2 linked regions of the Drosophila melanogaster genome follow. The protein of the gene in region 1 purifies or fractionates together with the protein of each later gene. This does not show direct contact. Each region holds a gene or a part of one and is shown in the gene's direction. Other genes may lie near its edges. The genes, in order: CG10395 and Nnk.

Region 1 (4,050 bases):
GCAAAACAACAGTACCACTTCAACCTCCGAAGAGATAAGTCGTGCCACCCAGTTTAAAGCCCGGCTTCGCGTAAGCCCAAAACCCTTATCAGCAAAATCTTGATAAACAAATATCAACCACAAAGAGAAAATAAAATAAAACCAACAACAATACCGCCAACCCGGGCTCAAGCTCTTAACCAACAATCATGACAGACCCACCAAACATTTACAAAATTACTTCAAAAACATACCATCGCAATTAGGTGAACCTAAATTTATAATTATCAAAAGGAAAGACAACAACTCTTTCGAAAGAATTTCACCATTCATCATAAAGAAATCGGTGGACTTTGCCTGTGGAGGAGAAGTCGAGGGATGCAAACGAACAAGAGACGGCAACCTAAGACCGTCTATAATATTTTAAATCGTGCGGAAAAAGAGGGCAGGCTTGAACCTAAGAGTGGTAATGGGCGGAAAACCAAAATTAACAAGCGAGTAGACTGCCTTAAAAGTGATTGCGAACCCCCGAATCTCGGTCAGATCACTTGCTCAGGATATCAGGGAAGAATATCACCTAACTGTGTCACACGAAACTGTGCACCACGTTATCCTACTACCATAGGTACTCTTCAAGAGTTGCAAGAAAAATGCCTTTGCTATCAGAGGTCAATATTGAAAAGCGTCATTCAGCATGATAGATCATGCGGAAGAGTACTGGGATGACGTCATATTTTGTGACGAAACAAATATGATGCTCTTTTATAACGACGGGCCAAGCAGAGTATGGCGCAAACCGTTGAGTGCGCTAGAAAAACAAAATATCATACCAACAATCAAATTTGGAAAATTGTCAGTGATTATTTGGGGCTGTATTTCCAGCCATGGAGTGGGCAAATTAGCCTTTATTGAAAGCACTATGAATGCCGTGCAATATCTAGATATTTTAGAAACAAATTTGAAGGCCAGTGCAGAAAAATGTGGTCTATTTAGCAACAACAAGCCAAATTTTAAGTTTTATCACGACAATGATCCCAAACATAAAGAGTACAATGTACGCAACTGGCTACTTTATAACTGTGGCAAGGTGATCGATACGCCCCCTCAGAGTCCTGATCTGAACCCCATTGAAAATTTGTGGACCTACTTAAAGAAGAAGGTGGCAAAAAGGTGCCCCAAAACACGGCAACATCTCATTGCTGCGATAGTCGAAGAGTGGGAAAAGATCCCGCTTGAATATGACCTAAAAAAACTCATCCATTCCATGAAAAAAAGGCTTCAACTTGTAGCCAAAGCCAATGGGGGTCATACTAAATACTAAAAATTTTCAAATATTAACAAAATAATTAAAAAATTTATGATTAAACTTAGGTTTAGTGTTTTGTGTAAATAGTTTCTTTACACTCTCAAAAGTGTGTAAACTTGAAATTTGTTGTTTATTTTCTTGTATATTTGATATTTTGAATTTGTTTTTTAATTTATAAGTAAAATAAATATTGTTTAATTATATTTCATAAAAAAATTGCGTTTAATTAAACAAATAACCCTTAATTTTGACCTTTAAAGTTAAAAATTCAACTTATTTCACGGTGTGTAAACAGTTTCTTGACAAACAGTATATATATAGTATAGTATAGTATATATATATATAAAGTTTAGTAAAATAATCGAACATATCGATTGTAATGACACTAACATAAAAAACATTAAACATTACCCGACCAAAAATTCAAATAATTTGTAATTTTATTAAACTTTATCCATTATTCATTTATCAACTTATGCGCTTTTCATGCAGAATTTGAATTCGCGTGCATAAGTGCACATAGATTGGAGTCTCGACATCAGGAACGATATTTAGTTACTATTCAGTTTCATCGGTTATCGGTTCAACACAACCGCTAACCATGGTTTTGCTATGTATTCTGTGAATTGCTTAAATGCATTTAGGAAGGGGAATACAAAAATATATTGTGCACAATTCAAATTTTTTTTAGTATTATTATTATAATTATTATTATTATAATTATAATCATTATAAGTTTAAAATCATTATACTATGTGGCCAGAGAGATTGCACGATTTTCCCAGCCGTTTAATAAGGATGTCATTTGTGGAATTAGGCTATAAGCATCGTAGTGGATGTATGACCAATGCAATTTTTGGACATTTGAAAAAATTAAGCATAACAAACAAAAATATTGGCCGCTGCTACAGGACGAGTGTATTTCAATTGAAATGGTGAAAGAAGGTAATTTATATCAATCACCAAACGTTACATCTTAAAAAGTAACATTTTTTATTCATAGGTTCTAAGGATGCAGAGTACTTATCTGCTGAGTCTATTTCAAATTCGTTGAGACCTAAAGAACTTCATTACACTACAGATGCGCTTGCATCTAATTCAAATATTCATGAACATCCTCTTAGACGCACGAGAAATATTAGCACAAAAAAATTGGCACATGATGACAGTTTGCCTCACACGGGTGCTAAAAAAGGTAAAAGACGACGCAACAGTGATACGTCCAGTGAAGAGGATCGGTGGCTTACCGCCATAGAAACCGGGAAACTAGACGTTGTTGATGAGGAACTTAAAAAGATAAAGGACCCCAAACTTATGACAGCACGTCAACGTGCTATTTATGAACGGACACAGGACTCCGAAATAAATGGATTTATAGAAGAGCTAATTGCTCTTCCAAGTGGTTATAAAGAAAAGGAAAAGCCGCAGACTGCGGAGGAAATTCATAAAGCTCTTCTGAAATCTCAAAAACGAAAACAACAAGCTGACGAACGCAGAGAAAAAGATAAATTAAAGACAATGGAGCGGTTGTTAAAAAAACAGGCAACCAACAGGGATCGGATTTCAATTCGCAATAAGTCTTTACAACAGCCCTCTTATCCAAAAATAACCTATATAAGTGCTGTAACTGGCAACTATGTAATAGTTCCCCCAGGTTACGAATATCCTTTAAAAGTTCAACTCCCTCGTACACCTCCTCCTTCACAGGTGTGCTTTGTAAGCGGTTGTGAAAATCGCAAGACATATAATTGTTCAACAACAAATGTTCCATTATGTAGTCTTACATGTTATCGTAAGAATATCAACAAAATAAGAAAAACGTCTACAAATACGTAGATTTAATTTTAATATTGATTGACAAAAAAATTGTTTATTATTTCATGTTGCTCCGTTTCAATTCGCTGTAAAAACTGCAATTCGCCTTTTAAGCGTTCAAGTTCTACTGTTTGCTCAAATATCTCATATTGATAGACTTGCTGCTTGTTCTGGCGCTGAATAAATGCCGTTTTTAATTGATTTTGAGTACCAATAGCGCGTAGTTTTTCCTTATCGACATCTTTGGCAAACGTTTCAGAAATATTACAATAATTAAACACAAACTTTTTAAAAATAGTGAATGCTTTAATGTAGTTGAAGCATTCTTGTTTAAACATTATTTTGCTACTGGAAAGGTTTGGATGCTCAACTCGCACCGTGTAAATTTCATCTATAAACACACCAACTTTTTGAAGTTCTTCCATCTTATTGCGATTGTAACAAAGTAATACTTTCTTACTATGCGTTGCGTTGCTATTGACAACTGAACGAGTCGTAAACAAATAAGAGCTACGCGTTTGTATATAAATGCATTGAGGCTTTAGTATTTTTCTTTTGGAAATTATATTAGCTTTCAGTATTTGAATTATTTGAAATGCAAATAATAACCCTTTTTTAATAACCCGTTACTCGTAGAGTATAAGGGCATACTAGATTCGTTAAAAAGTAACAGGCAGTGGGGGGGAGCGTTTCTGACCATATAAAGTATTTATATTCTTGATCAGGATCAATAGCCGAGTCGATCTGGCCATGTCCGTCTGTCCGTATGAACGTCAAGATTCAGGAACTATAAAATTATATTTTACATTAATTTTTTTATAATTATTAATTAATTAATTTTTTACATTATTATTAGTCTTGTAAATTTCTATCGTTTTGCAAAAATAAATTGGTTGCCACGTCCACTCTAACGCCCTAAAAGCGCCTAAAGCTGCCACTCCCACTTTTTT
Region 2 (4,541 bases), on another chromosome or scaffold:
TGATTGTTTTGGGAATTCAGCGGGATAAATGATCATATGTTTGAAATGAAAAAGCCTTCGCAATGCCATTTGTGCGCCTCGTGTTTCTGTCACCTGAATCCCACGATAATTTTTTGCCTGGAAGTTCTGGCCAAGATCAAGGATCTCACTGGAATATGGGTATGTTGATGGTTTCTTGTGTGCGTGAATGGCATAACCCATTTACTCCATTTACAGTTAGAACAGAATGAACGCCAGCCGCGTCATATTTGCCCATCTTGTTTAAATGACTTGAACACATCGATTAAGTTAAAGAAGCGCATTCAACGAGTTCACAATGAAGCAACGCTGAGGCGGGAATCTGGGCTTGATGAGGATCTAGAAAGCACTGTATCCGATATAGAGCCAGAAGGGGATTCCAGTGACTTGGAATCGGAGGAATCATATGATTCAGAAAACTATCCATTTGACAAAAAAGCAGAGGAATCCGATATTGATTTAAATCTCGCCCATGAGGATAGGAGAAACGAACCACATAATCCTTATGATTCGGAAACCCCCTTAATATTTAAGCATAAAAATCCATTAATTGAGACTCCTTCATTTGCAAATGAAAACTTGCCTAACAAAGTCGATGCAAAAAGCCCAAAAAAGGGAAACTTTATACAAATTGGAACCGATCTGAGACTACTTACAACGTATCCCTCTATTAAGGTAGTAAAGCCCCTTGCATTAGCTCCAGAAGATGTGGCAGCTGAGAATGTACCCCCTGCAAAAAGGACAGCTCGGAAAATGCAATCCCTGGTGTGCCCTAAGTGCGGAAGGGTCTTTAAGACTCCATACAACCTAAAGACGCATATGGTGCGCCACACGGGTGAGAAGAACTTTCCATGCACGTTCTGCGACAAGCGGTTCGTCACCAAGTATCTGGCTCGTCTACACGAACGAGTGCGCCACATGGGCGAACAGCCGTTTGAGTGCAACTTCTGCTCGGCAACGTTTTTCACAAGTACAGCTAAGTCGAGCCATGAGCGGTAAGTCCTTACTGCAATTGTATTTAACTTTAAAAGCGCTGACATAAACAATTTCCTAACACTATGACAGAATACGGCACATCAGAGATCTGAGGTACCAATGCGACCAGTGCACCAAGAGATTCAATACCAAGACCTGCTTGAATAAGCACAAGTTCCTGCACTCAGGTCTTAAGCCCTTTGAGTAAGTGAAATGATATGAAATTTGCGCATATTTAATACAAGTCGTGTATTTCCCTCTCAGCTGCGTTATTTGCCAAATCAACTTTGCCCGAAAGGCAACGCTAAGGAGTCACTTCGATTCGGTTGCTCACCAGAAAAGAGCCAGCGCCATCCTGGAATCCGAAGAGCATTGATTCGCCAAAGAATTAGAGATCGTTTTTAATTCCGTCTTATAAGATGCGGGATATGTAGATGAAAGCACGACTTGGATAATTCTGAGGCTCAGGATATCTATTAGACATAAATGTTTGAACGTATTCTCACTGTTTTGGCACTGGATTGCCCTTCGTTTGCTATAACTTTTTTGTATTACATTTTTGTCATTTGCTTTTCCTATTATGAAGTAGTTTCTTTAAGAGTGTAATATTTGGACAGCCATTCATTTCGAAATGTTAAATACCTTACTATTTAATTAATCGTTTTCATTTAAAAACAGAAAACTTATGTATAATATATATTTTTAATTCTTTTTTTGAAGTGGTAAATATATTTGGTAATTCCTATTTGCCACGAAAAGCAAATGCTTGGAGTATATTCCATAACGACCCTTGAATAAAAGGCGCCATTTTCAAATTTTGGCGCCACCGCTTGGCAGTCACCCAGAGACGCGGACAACAACAACAGTTCGCTGCGAATGGCCCAAAATGAAGCAGCAGCTGTTAATAAAGCAAGGAATTTTGGCTCGAAAAATAACTCTTAAAAATGACGCCACAATGCCGGTTGTGTGGAGATTTAATATACACGCAAAATCCAGTTAACATATTCGATGAGAACAGCAAAATGGTCAGGCAAATCGCATTGGTCACGGGCCTTTGGGTGAGTGTGTAAATTAAATTGGCAAATTTAAACCGCTAATGCTCGTTTGGTTTTCAAGCTCACCGACCACTCGAAGATGCCCCGGAATATGTGCTCCTGCTGCCTGCTGAGCCTGAAGAGCGCCATTGCCTTCCGGCAAGCCTGCATCAAGACCAACAATCGACTGACAATCCAGCGCCGAAGTGTGGAAGCCAAGGATGACGGATGCTGGGCTGATCCGCTGAGCGATGCGCACGAGGGGCTGAAGATCAACGATGCGGAAGTGGAGCAGGAGGTGTTGTACGAGGTGTCCTATGCGGATAATGAAGGACTGGAGGAAGACCACGACCTGTACAAGAAGGAGGAGGAAGAAAGCGAGGTTAATGAGAACAAGGAATTTGAAGATATTGCCTGCGAAATACCCTTCAGTAAGGAGGATGATGAGCAAGAGCAACAGCAGGAGTATGAGGATATGGTGGATAAAAAGACAGGACATGATGATGGCGAGGAGTCACAGGAATGTGAGGAGTCACAGCCAGATGAGGAGGAAAGTCAGCAAAATGAGGAGGACGAAGAGGAGTCACAGGAAGACGACGACGAGCTTTGGCAGAACGAGGACGGCGACAGCGATACAGATGCTGATTCTATGTCAGATATAGAAGCCACATCGCGTCAATCGGCCCTTGACGAAGATAAGAAGCCTCGTCGAAAATACACCAAGAGATCATCTCCCAAAAACGACGACACCGACTTTCTCAAACCTGCGAAGAAAAAACGAAAAACATACATAAGCCAAAAGGTCCACATCTGTGACCATTGCGGCAAGAAATTCACCGACAAGGGCAACTTTAATCTGCACGTGCTGCGCCACTCGGGCGTCAAGCCCTTCGAGTGTCCTGAGTGCGGACAAAAGGAGTTCAACAGGTACATCCTGAACATTCACATTCGGGTGAAGCACCGCGGAGAGAAGCCATACGCTTGCCAGTTCTGCGACGAGCGTTTTGTGCACAGTACTATGCGATCGCGCCACGAAAAGTGAGTCTATAGCATACCTTAAATCCCCTAAATTGCACCTACGAACACTGCCATTCTTTCAGCCGGGTACACCGGAACAAGAAAACACCAAAGAACTTCAAGTGCAACTATTGCGACAAGCGATACGAGTCGAACTACCAGAGGGCCAAGCACGAGGTGGTCCACACCGGCGAGCGTAACTTCCAGTAAGATCTTGTGAAGATATATGGCTAGATTTTTCTTTCTCCTAACATATTCCTTTAAGTATCAATCATCTTATTATTCCCACTTTGTAACTCTTTACTTCCTAATATCCACTACATCCAGCAATCAAGTTAACTATTTCCTGCTTGAAAAGTTACTTTTTCAAATGTTTAACTTTGTTTTTATCTACTTTCCCCTTAGCTGTGAGGTCTGCAAAGTGTCCTTTACACGGAACTCGAACTTGAAGACCCACTACCGCTCCAGGCAGCATCAAAATAAGCTGATCGCAATGAGTGCTAAGTCCGAAATTGATTCCAAAAATAAATAAGGTACAAATGTTTTGTTGTTAAGTGTTGTCATCCGTTTAGAGGTCTAATGTTCTTATCTGTTAAAATTATAATAATTTAGTATAAAAGTATTTCTAAGAAGTTAATAAGATGAAATATCATAAGATATCTGACTGTGATTTGGGTGTATCGATCAGTTTTGAAAGTGGATCTTTCATCCTCTTAAATATTTAACGTTTATTACAACAAATCCACAGTTCAAATCGGAAGAACTAATTCCTTGTAGTTCACTTTAAAATGTGCCATTCACACAAAACAATGATAAACTAGATTATTCTGTAAACAGAAGTCCAACTTTGTTTACTTGGCGGAAACTAAACAATTGAGTTGAAACTGCAAAAAGGATGACCACGCTGTGCCGCACCTGTGGCCAGGAGGCGGAGCACGCCAAGTCACTTTTCGATAAGGAGGCCAGAGATGTCCTGAGCAACATCCTCAAGCTGACGGGCTTTTGGGTAGGTGACTATTCCCGGTAACCACGGAGTCATTCCCTCTTCGATTCCAGTTGAGGAACCAGCCAGGTGTGCCAACGAGGATCTGCTTATCCTGCTTGCTGGATCTGAACGATGCCATCGCATTCCGGGAGCGCTGCATCAGGACCAATTCGTCTTGGTTCGAAAAGCAGGGCAAACAAGAGGATTCGGACACTGAGACTGCAAGGGAAGGCGGGAATAACAGGTTAGAAAGTAGGGTGGATGTTATGCCCATTAGTATTGCACAGCCGCAAAGGAGAAGGATTCTACCACAACGCAGCAAGAAAGTGGATGGAGTGCCTCTTAAGACAGTAGAAACCCCAATTTACCCTTTAGTTGTCCCGGAAATACCGCCTGCCGATCTCGTCGATCCTCTCCGGTGCGAGGATCCTATTCAGGTGAAGAGCGAGCCTCAGCTTTCATCTGATTATCCAGTGGAGTCCATGAATCACGAAGAGCCAGCATCCGAAATG

Evidence for each region.
Region 2: the proteins of CG10395 (region 1) and Nnk purify together in Drosophila melanogaster (affinity purification with mass spectrometry, with the first as the bait; one large-scale study listed by BioGRID). This does not show direct contact.

What each region holds. Positions count from the first base shown.
Region 1 is NT_033778.4:5,348,592-5,352,641, forward strand, and holds CG10395 (uncharacterized protein), read left to right. Parts: upstream 1-1,885; 5' UTR 1,886-2,217; coding exon 2,218-2,230; intron 2,231-2,288; coding exon 2,289-3,121; 3' UTR 3,122-3,129; downstream 3,130-4,050. Other genes in the region: IFT20 (intraflagellar transport 20), read right to left, coding at 3,130-3,525.
Region 2 is NT_033777.3:17,802,565-17,807,105, reverse strand, and holds Nnk (nicknack), read left to right. Parts: upstream 1-1,856; 5' UTR 1,857-1,937; coding exon 1,938-2,051; intron 2,052-2,109; coding exon 2,110-3,065; intron 3,066-3,127; coding exon 3,128-3,250; intron 3,251-3,449; coding exon 3,450-3,576; 3' UTR 3,577-3,881; downstream 3,882-4,541. Other genes in the region: CG17801 (uncharacterized protein), read left to right, coding at 37-159, 217-1,013, 1,084-1,197, 1,258-1,369; CG17806 (uncharacterized protein), read left to right, coding at 3,940-4,050, 4,101-4,541.